2 linked regions of the Macaca mulatta genome follow. The protein of the gene in region 2 purifies or fractionates together with the protein of the main gene of each other region. This does not show direct contact. Links are inferred from orthologs where the notes say so. Each region holds a gene or a part of one and is shown on either strand. Other genes may lie near its edges. The genes, in order: COPS8 and CUL2.

Region 1 (4,367 bases), on a different chromosome or scaffold from region 2:
AAATTCAAATTTCTGACTAGAGGACTCTGAAGATTTATTTTGAAACCTTAATACTAGTTTGATGACTATTTCTAGGACGTCAGACAGAAAACAGAAATTTATAAAAGGTTGCCATTTAAGGGAATGTCATTACATTAAAGCAGTAAGGCAGGTTTAAAGGATACTTACAGATTTTATAGCAGGTGGTATTCTTTTCCAAAGATATCTTGCATTATTCCTAATTTACGCCACCACAAAGAAGAATAATCAATTAAAAACATAATCATCTCCGTAAATGTTAAAAACTATCAGGTCCCAAGGCAAACATTCAGAAGTATACTTTACATAACACAAAGTAAAATTTAGTGTTATATGAATTTGTTTTGGGGAAACAATAGTAGTTTTCCAGATAAAAAGGACATGAAATATTTTTACCAAAGTAATATTCTGCCATTTCTACTGAACTTTTTAAAAATAATAATCCATATCCTAAATTAAGGCAACAGCACACTAAAAACACAAGGACGTATAGAACAGCCCAAATGATTTATTCGGATACAAAAGTAAACAAATTTATGTACTATGAAGGCTCCAGCATTCCCTGACAATAAGCCTGGTACACAACACTTCTCTCCCTGTCACAGTCCCTCCTACCAGTGGGTACAGAGCTTCTGAGGCAGGAGTTTGTATGGGTTTGGAGGCTTGAACTATGACAAACATATAATGATAGTTTTACAAAAAATAAAAAACCAAACGTACATGTGTAATAAAAATTTCAATTTAGTTTTTAAAAAGATATAAAAGAAAGGTTTTGGAACAATTTAAAATAAAATTTTATCAGGAATGATCAGTGAGTCTACAGGAGAACTATAGGAGATTTTTTTTTTTTTTTTTTTTTTTGCACAGTTACGCTTTCTTTTTGAGACAGGGTCTCACTCTGGCTGCCCAGGCTGCAGTGCAGTGGCGCAATATCGGCTCACTGCAGCCTCGACTTTCTGGGCTCTGGTAATTCTCCCCACCTCAGCCTCCTGGGTAGCTGGGATTAGAGGCATGCGCAACCACATCCAGCTAATTTTTTGTATTTTTAGAGCAGATAGGGTTTCACTATAATCCCCAGGCTGGTCTCAAACTCCTGGACTCAAGCCATCCACTTGCCTCAGTCTCCCAGAGTGCTGGGATTACAGGTGTGTGTCACCACGCCTGGCCTAGCATAGTTATGCTTTCTGACTTTTCCATGTGAACGTGAAATAGGAATAATTAAAAATTTAAAAAAACTTTCAAATCTCATACATGTTTGTAATGAATCTCTTGGCTGCAATCTTCTCTTTCCACTTCTTTTGTTTTATTAATATGAAGTAAATAAAGATCATAAAAGTATTTTAAAAAGACAAAGATTAAATGAATTTACTGACATAGTTTCTCATAATAAATTGAAATGTTTTCTAGAAAGTATATATAAGACAATGACGACCTAATCATAATTCATTAAGCTATGATTCAATAGGAAATAGATGTAATAGTTATTATAATAAAAGAGGTAGCTCGTTGTGCCTATGTTTGGTGGTGCTACTTCAGGGCAGAAATATTTCCATGTAACTTTTGAGAAACCTGCTGCTCTTGGCTTTAGGTTAAACGTACTTACATGTCATTATGGAGCAAATATAAAGCTAGAAGCTGACCATACACTGGGGGTGTAGCAATTCCTCCAGGGGCCTAGAAGGCCAAAAATGAAAACAAAACAAAACAACACAAAATTTAAAAAACCTCATTTACCCTTTAACTTTCATTTTTGAAATAATATTTTATAAATGCTAATTAAAAAGTAAGCCTTTTTAGTCTAAGATTATAAATAATCTTATAGTCCTAGTATAGATTTAGAAACAGCTTAGAGAAGTATTAAACACGAAAATCCTAAGTATTAAGTTTATATTCGTCATCAGCTTTGATTTATCTCCCTTTGGGCCTCAGTTTCTCTATACATTCAAGAATATGTAAGAGGATCCCCTTCCCCAGTTCTCAAATTCCCATTTAAATGATCTTACTAGTATAAGAAACAATTTCGACAGATTCCTGAAGCATTCTGATTCTGCCCATTACATCAAGCGTCCTGAATAAGAGACAGAAAATCACCACAGCTGCGTTGCAAAGACAATTCTTTCAATTTTAACTCAATTGGGAAGTGTCTATTGTCTATTAGTGAGCTGCTTCTTCTGGATGTTGTCTCCTTTAGTTAATTTTAAAACTAATGATATAAACGCTTTTAAGTGTCTAAAAAAAACGTTAACTTTAACAGCTGCATAACTTTCACTTGTCTTACTAAAGACAAAATGGCAAGCTTACTTGACAACATTACGAGAAAGGCTCTGTGAGTTAAGAAAAGGTTACAATGGTCACATCTTTCTTGGTGTGTGTGTGCGCTTTGGGGTGTGTGTGTTGGTGTGTGTGTATATACCAAGATCTTTAATAAAATCCACATTACTACTCTCTCCCAACCCGATACTGGGAATGAAAGATGTCTAATTAATATGAGCTTATCGATAGGTGCTGGAGCAAAGATGCACAGGGTTTTCGGGATCACAAGCTGAAGACATATAACAAAAAGGTCCCGGTGACTTAGGGGAGACCGGGCCTGGTCGCAGCAGGCCGCGACGGTCAGGGCTCCACACGTCCACCTCCCGCGCCCGCCCCGCGAGCTCCCAAAGCCCGCGAGCCTCAGACCCCGTTACCCTGGAAACTGGTGCCGCCCCGGGGCCTAAGACTACTCCGCAGTTTCTCCCAGGGAACGCAAAGGGCTACCTCGAGCTCCTGGTTCTCGCACTGATCCAGCAACTTTTTGAAACTGAAGGCACTTTCCGCCATCACCGCCACTGGCATCTTCCCGGCCGGTCTCGCCGCCGCACCTTCCGGACAGCCAAACCCCAGACCGTCCCTCGGGCGTCGCGCCCGCGATGACGTTTAAAGCCGCCGTTGCCGCCGAGCGCCCCTGCGTACCAGATCGTCAGTTCCGGGGCGCCGTCAGACATTGCCGCGGCCGGGATAGGGCGCCGCCGTTCTGGCCGGCTCTCTCGGTGCCCTGGAGGACCTGGCCGGCTTGGCTGGAAGCTGTGCTCAGAGCGCACGGCCGCCCCCTGGCAGGGAGGAGTTCGTTGCACTTTTGAGGGTTCTTCACGAAGACATCCAATATATAGAAAACAACAGCAACAGTAGCGCATTTTTAAATATTAAAATTGCTGGGGAACACGACGGATCCTGCAGCTGCTCGGCTGTCCTGGTCAAGTCGGCGACCCTAGGGCTCCGCTCCGTGCCCTGCATACCGTAGGCGCTCACGAAACGTTCGTGAGTTCCCCGCTTTGAGGAGACAAGCTTAAAAACTCGGAATGTAAGGTTCGAGTCTCCCCAAACCTGCTTGTTGGGTAGCGTCTCCCGCCCGGGCCCGCCCCGCACACCCCCCACTCCGGAACCACGCTTCTGCAGCCGGGACCCCTGCCTCCTTCCGGGCTATTCTCGGAACCGCAGCCAGAGGGAATTTTTTTTTCTTTCCTGAAACGTAGAGCAGATCTGGTTACTCTTATGCACAACGCCCTAAAATCCAGGGCCCTTCCCGTCGCTCAGAATTTACGGCTAATTCTCAGCTCTCCCCCGGCTTGCTGTAGCCATCCTGGCCTCTTCAGTTTTAGTTTCGCACAGCACTGATTGTTAGCGAACATTATATATTGCATATTATTTATTAACATACTTGTTTTTTACATCCCTCACTAGACCCCCAGGAAAGAGGCTTTGATTGTTCCCTGCTGCAAGGCTGGCTGCATAATTTGTGGGTCTCAGAGAAAAAGTGCAGAGCTTCCTTATTCAAAAAACAGAAGGAAAGTGACTTTAAGGTCATAAAATATAAAACTTTCTCATTCCTCTCAGTTTCTCTCTTTTCATAGTGTTCTTATGGGTTATTTAATATCATTCCAAGAAAAATTTAGATTTAAATTGTTAGCATGAAGTTTACCATTCATCTTTACGTTGTGCAATGCCAGTTTTAAATACTAATATAAGTGCACTGAACTCATATGTGGAATCACAGAAATGATACAATTTGTACTTCATAGCTTATACATGCGTATGTATTTTGTTTTTACCAGAACCACGCTGCACAAAGTGAACTTACCTGTTTTCATCGCACTTTATATGCACGAATTCTACCTCCACTCTCGACCTGGGACTCACTCCTGAGTAAGGAAGGACTGAAAGGCAAAAGGACCATGGACTGGCCTTTTGGCATAATCAGGTGTTTAATATAAAGAAGTGCACGAATAAGAAAAGATATGATATGTGTGATGGTTAATACTGAGCGTCAACTTGATTGGATTGAAGGATGCAAAGTGTTGATCCTGGGTGTG
Region 2 (3,822 bases):
CCATGAAGAAATTACTACCTAAGACTTAACTAAGTCAGCTGGATTTGAGTCTACTACAAATGTATTCACTTATGTTTCCATCTCCCAGCCTTGACACAAAATTCTATGCTTCTATGCCCCATGTCATTGGACATGGAATCTATAAACGTAATAACATAAACTAGTAAGTTTGACAAATAATACAGAGTAATAAATCTGCATAATACAAACTAATAGTTCTACAAAAATAGAAAACTGTGGTAAAAGGAATTTGAAGAAATTAAAAAATAGTAAACTTACACATGATTGTGGCAGAACATAAAAACTAAAAATTATTACTTGCCAAAGACCAATCTGTCGCTAAGGTAACAGCCTCTAAAAAGTGCTCCTGAACAGTGACGGCTACACACATACACACAGATACTATCTTTTTTTTTTTTTTTTTGAGACGGAGTCTTGTGCAGTCACCCAGGCTGGAGTGCAGTGGTGTGATCTTGGCTCACTGTAAGCTCCGCCTCCCGGGTTCACGCCATTCTCCCGCCTCAGCCGCCTGAGTAGCTGGGACTACAGGCGCCCGCCAACATGCCCGGCTAATTTTTTGTATTTTTAGTAGAGATGGGGTTTCACCGTGTTAGCCAGGATGGTCTCCATCTCCTGACCTCGTGATCCGCCCGCCTCGGCCTCCCAAAGTGCTGGGATTACAGGCGTGACAGATACTACCTTACAGATTAAGTCAAACAGCTCTACTTAAGAAGAGATAGTAACAGTTGAAGTTACGTCTCTCTTGCTCATCAACCGTCACCAGTAATAACAAGATTTGGTGATAGGAAAGACAAACTGTTACAGTCATGTGATTGGTAAAGTACTCAAGGAAGATGAGTATTAGGGACACGAGGGTTATTGTTTCCGGTATTTGGGGCAGCAAGCATATACTTACAGAAGATTATTTGAATCTAAATTTGCTTACTAGACAACCAAATTCACAGAATATGGAAAGGAGGAAAATTACAAGTTGTCTATATTACCGCTGATTAATACTACTACCATGACAACAAACAATGTTATCAACGCCAATTACAGAAAAACACAGTTACTTAGAAATGGCAAGCTTATTTTTCTGTGAAAAGTTAACAACTGTTCAATGGACACCTCCGTATGGCTAAGCAGCAGCCTATCTCATCAATAGCTTTCTAATAATTTGATAATTCCAAAATGAGTCCAACAAGCTCTAGGTTTAAAACATTTGAATAAAGACATTTCTTTTGTTGGCATGGTAAGACTTTTTCTTTCATCTTTCAAAATAGTAAAGTCAAAGGAAAGACTCCACGATGGATCTGATTAGGAGGAAAACACTGCAGTTCCCCACACAACTCACATTTTCCTGAGTAAGGTTGCTGGTTGCTCGAAGGCCCTCATCATGGATGTGGTTTTGTAGCTCCTGAATCATATGAGGTAAACCAGTGGACACAGCACGGAGTAAGACGTACATATTTGCCATGTCTGAGAGGAAAAAGACATCTGAGGATTAACTCCTAAATATTTTCATTTATTAGGTAATATATGGATCCAAGTGCAGGAATACAATCCAAGTGCAGAGTACCCAGAGAAAAGCCCCCCATGCCCACCTCCCAGCCACCCAAGCCCCTCTCCCCACAGGAAAGGGATGTGGTTATTTAACATCTTCCCAAAGATATCTTGTGCAAATTCAAGTGAATACATATATTCTTCCCTTTGCCCCTTTTAATACAGTGTACTGTATTTTGTATATTATTTGTAGCTTCAGAACACATTTTAACTTAGTAGTCTTTTCCTATCAGTACACAAAGCATTTCTATGTATTTTACAGCTGCACAGTACTCCATTATGTGGATATATTATAATTTCTTAACAACTAATGGAAATTTAGGTGGTTTCCAGTCTCTTGATATTGCAATGTTACAATCAATAATCTTATACATGAGCAAGAATATATGCAATATAAATTCCCAAAAAAGTGAGGTTACTGTGTCAAAGTTTAATCTTGTAGACAGATCCTTCTAACCACAGCTGCCAACAGCAGAGAGTTCCTTTGCCAACAATGTGTTACCAAACATTTTGATCTCTAACACTGGGAGGTAAATAATGATCTCTCAGTGTAGTAGGTTTTATTTTAAATGTTTTATTAAAGCATCATACATACAGAGAAAAGTATACAAACCATAAGTGTGTATCTTACTGAATTATTACAAGTGAACACACAACACACCTATGTAATCACACGCAGGATAAGAAATAGGCATTACCTACACCCAGGAGTCCCCTTCATGCCTCCTTCCAATCACACACTCTTGCTCCTCTGCAAAGGTAACCACTGCTGTGACTTCTAAATCACAGATGAGTTTGAACTATATATAAAAATGGGATCACACAATTCTTTCACAACTGGCTTCTTGTGTTCAACAAAATGTGTATAAGGATCATCTATGTTGTTGTACCTGGCTTTAATTTGTTCATTTCCACTCCTTTATAATATTCCATTGTATGAATATACTGTACTATTCTACAGTTACTGGACATTTGAGCCGTTCCAGTTTACGGAGCTATTACAAATACTAATAATATGAACATTCCTGTAAGTCTTTTTGTACATATGTCCAGGCACTGGCGGTCAGAAGGTACGGTGGGGTGGTTATACGTTTAGGAGTAGAACTGCTGGATCATAAAATATGCATAATATATCCCACTTAGCGGTCAATGCCAGTTTCCCAAAGTAGTTGCATCAATTTATACTCTCACTTCAGTGTTCGAAAAGCTCCTGCTGCTTCACATTTCTTTTTATGTTTATTGGCCATCTGGGTATCTTCTATTCTGCAGTGTCTGTTTTTTGGCCATTTTATATTTTGGATATAAATCTTTGCTATTGCAGCTACATTACCCTATAAGTGTCTTCTGATGATCCAGTGGTTTTCATGGCTTTTTTTTTTTTTTTTTTTTTTTGAGACAGGGTCTCACTCTGTCACCCAGGCTGGAGTGCTCTGGCAGGATCTCGGCTCACTGCAACCACCACCTTCCAGGCATGAGTGATCCTCCCACCTCAGCCTCCCAAGTAGATGGGACCACAGGTGCACACCACCCCACCTGGCTAATGCTTGTATTTTTTTGCAGAGATGGGATATTGTCATGTTGCCCAGGCTGGTCTTGAACTCCTGAGCTCAAGCAATCTTCCTCCCTCTTAATGGCCTTTTAATAATCCAAAGTTTTTCATTTTAATGTAGTTCACTGGATCAATTGTTCCTTTGTGGTTAGGGCTTTTTGTGTCCTATTTAAAATATCTTTCCCTATCTCAAGGTTATGAAGATATTCTCCGATATTATCTTCTAAAAGTGTTATTTTTTTTACCTTGTACATTTAGATAAAAACTCTAGTGAATGGATTTTGTATATGGTATCTGACGTAGTGATCAAATTTCATTTTCTTCCGAAATGGACATCCAATTGACTGAGCAATGTGTGCTGAAAACACCATCTTCTACCTGCTGCTCTGCAGCGCCACCTTGGCCTTACATCAAGTGGCCACATATGCATGGGTTGTTCTGGGGTCTCTTATTTTATTGTGATATCTGTCTGTCCTTGTGCCAATGCCTCACTGTCTTAATTACTATAGGTTTTACAATTAGTCTTGCTGGCCATTAAAGTCTTTCCATCATACTCTTCAAGACAGTGACTTCCGGAATTAAAAAAAATTATTGTGTTTTGACTACATTGTCCTGGGTCTACGAAATCAATGTTGCTTTAAAAAACACGGGGCCGGGTGCGGTGGCTCACGTCTATAATCTCAGCACTTTGGGAGGCGGAGGCGGGCGGA

What was found.
Region 1: the proteins of CUL2 (region 2) and COPS8 purify together in Homo sapiens (affinity purification with mass spectrometry; 4 studies listed by BioGRID and IntAct, counting the BioPlex papers as one, with this or other methods). This does not show direct contact. The link is inferred for Macaca mulatta from reciprocal best matches to the Homo sapiens genes CUL2 and COPS8.

Annotation. Positions count from the first base shown.
Region 1 is NC_133417.1:142,320,081-142,324,447, reverse strand, and holds the start of COPS8 (COP9 signalosome complex subunit 8), read right to left. Parts: upstream 2,937-4,367; 5' UTR 2,854-2,936; coding exon 2,776-2,853; intron 2,087-2,775; exon of another isoform or gene 2,022-2,086; intron 1,693-2,021; coding exon 1,622-1,692; intron 218-1,621; coding exon 169-217; intron 1-168. UniProt on the Homo sapiens protein: Component of the COP9 signalosome complex (CSN), a complex involved in various cellular and developmental processes.
Region 2 is NC_133414.1:36,435,130-36,438,951, forward strand, and holds part of CUL2 (cullin-2), read right to left. Parts: intron 1,480-3,822; coding exon 1,355-1,479; intron 1-1,354.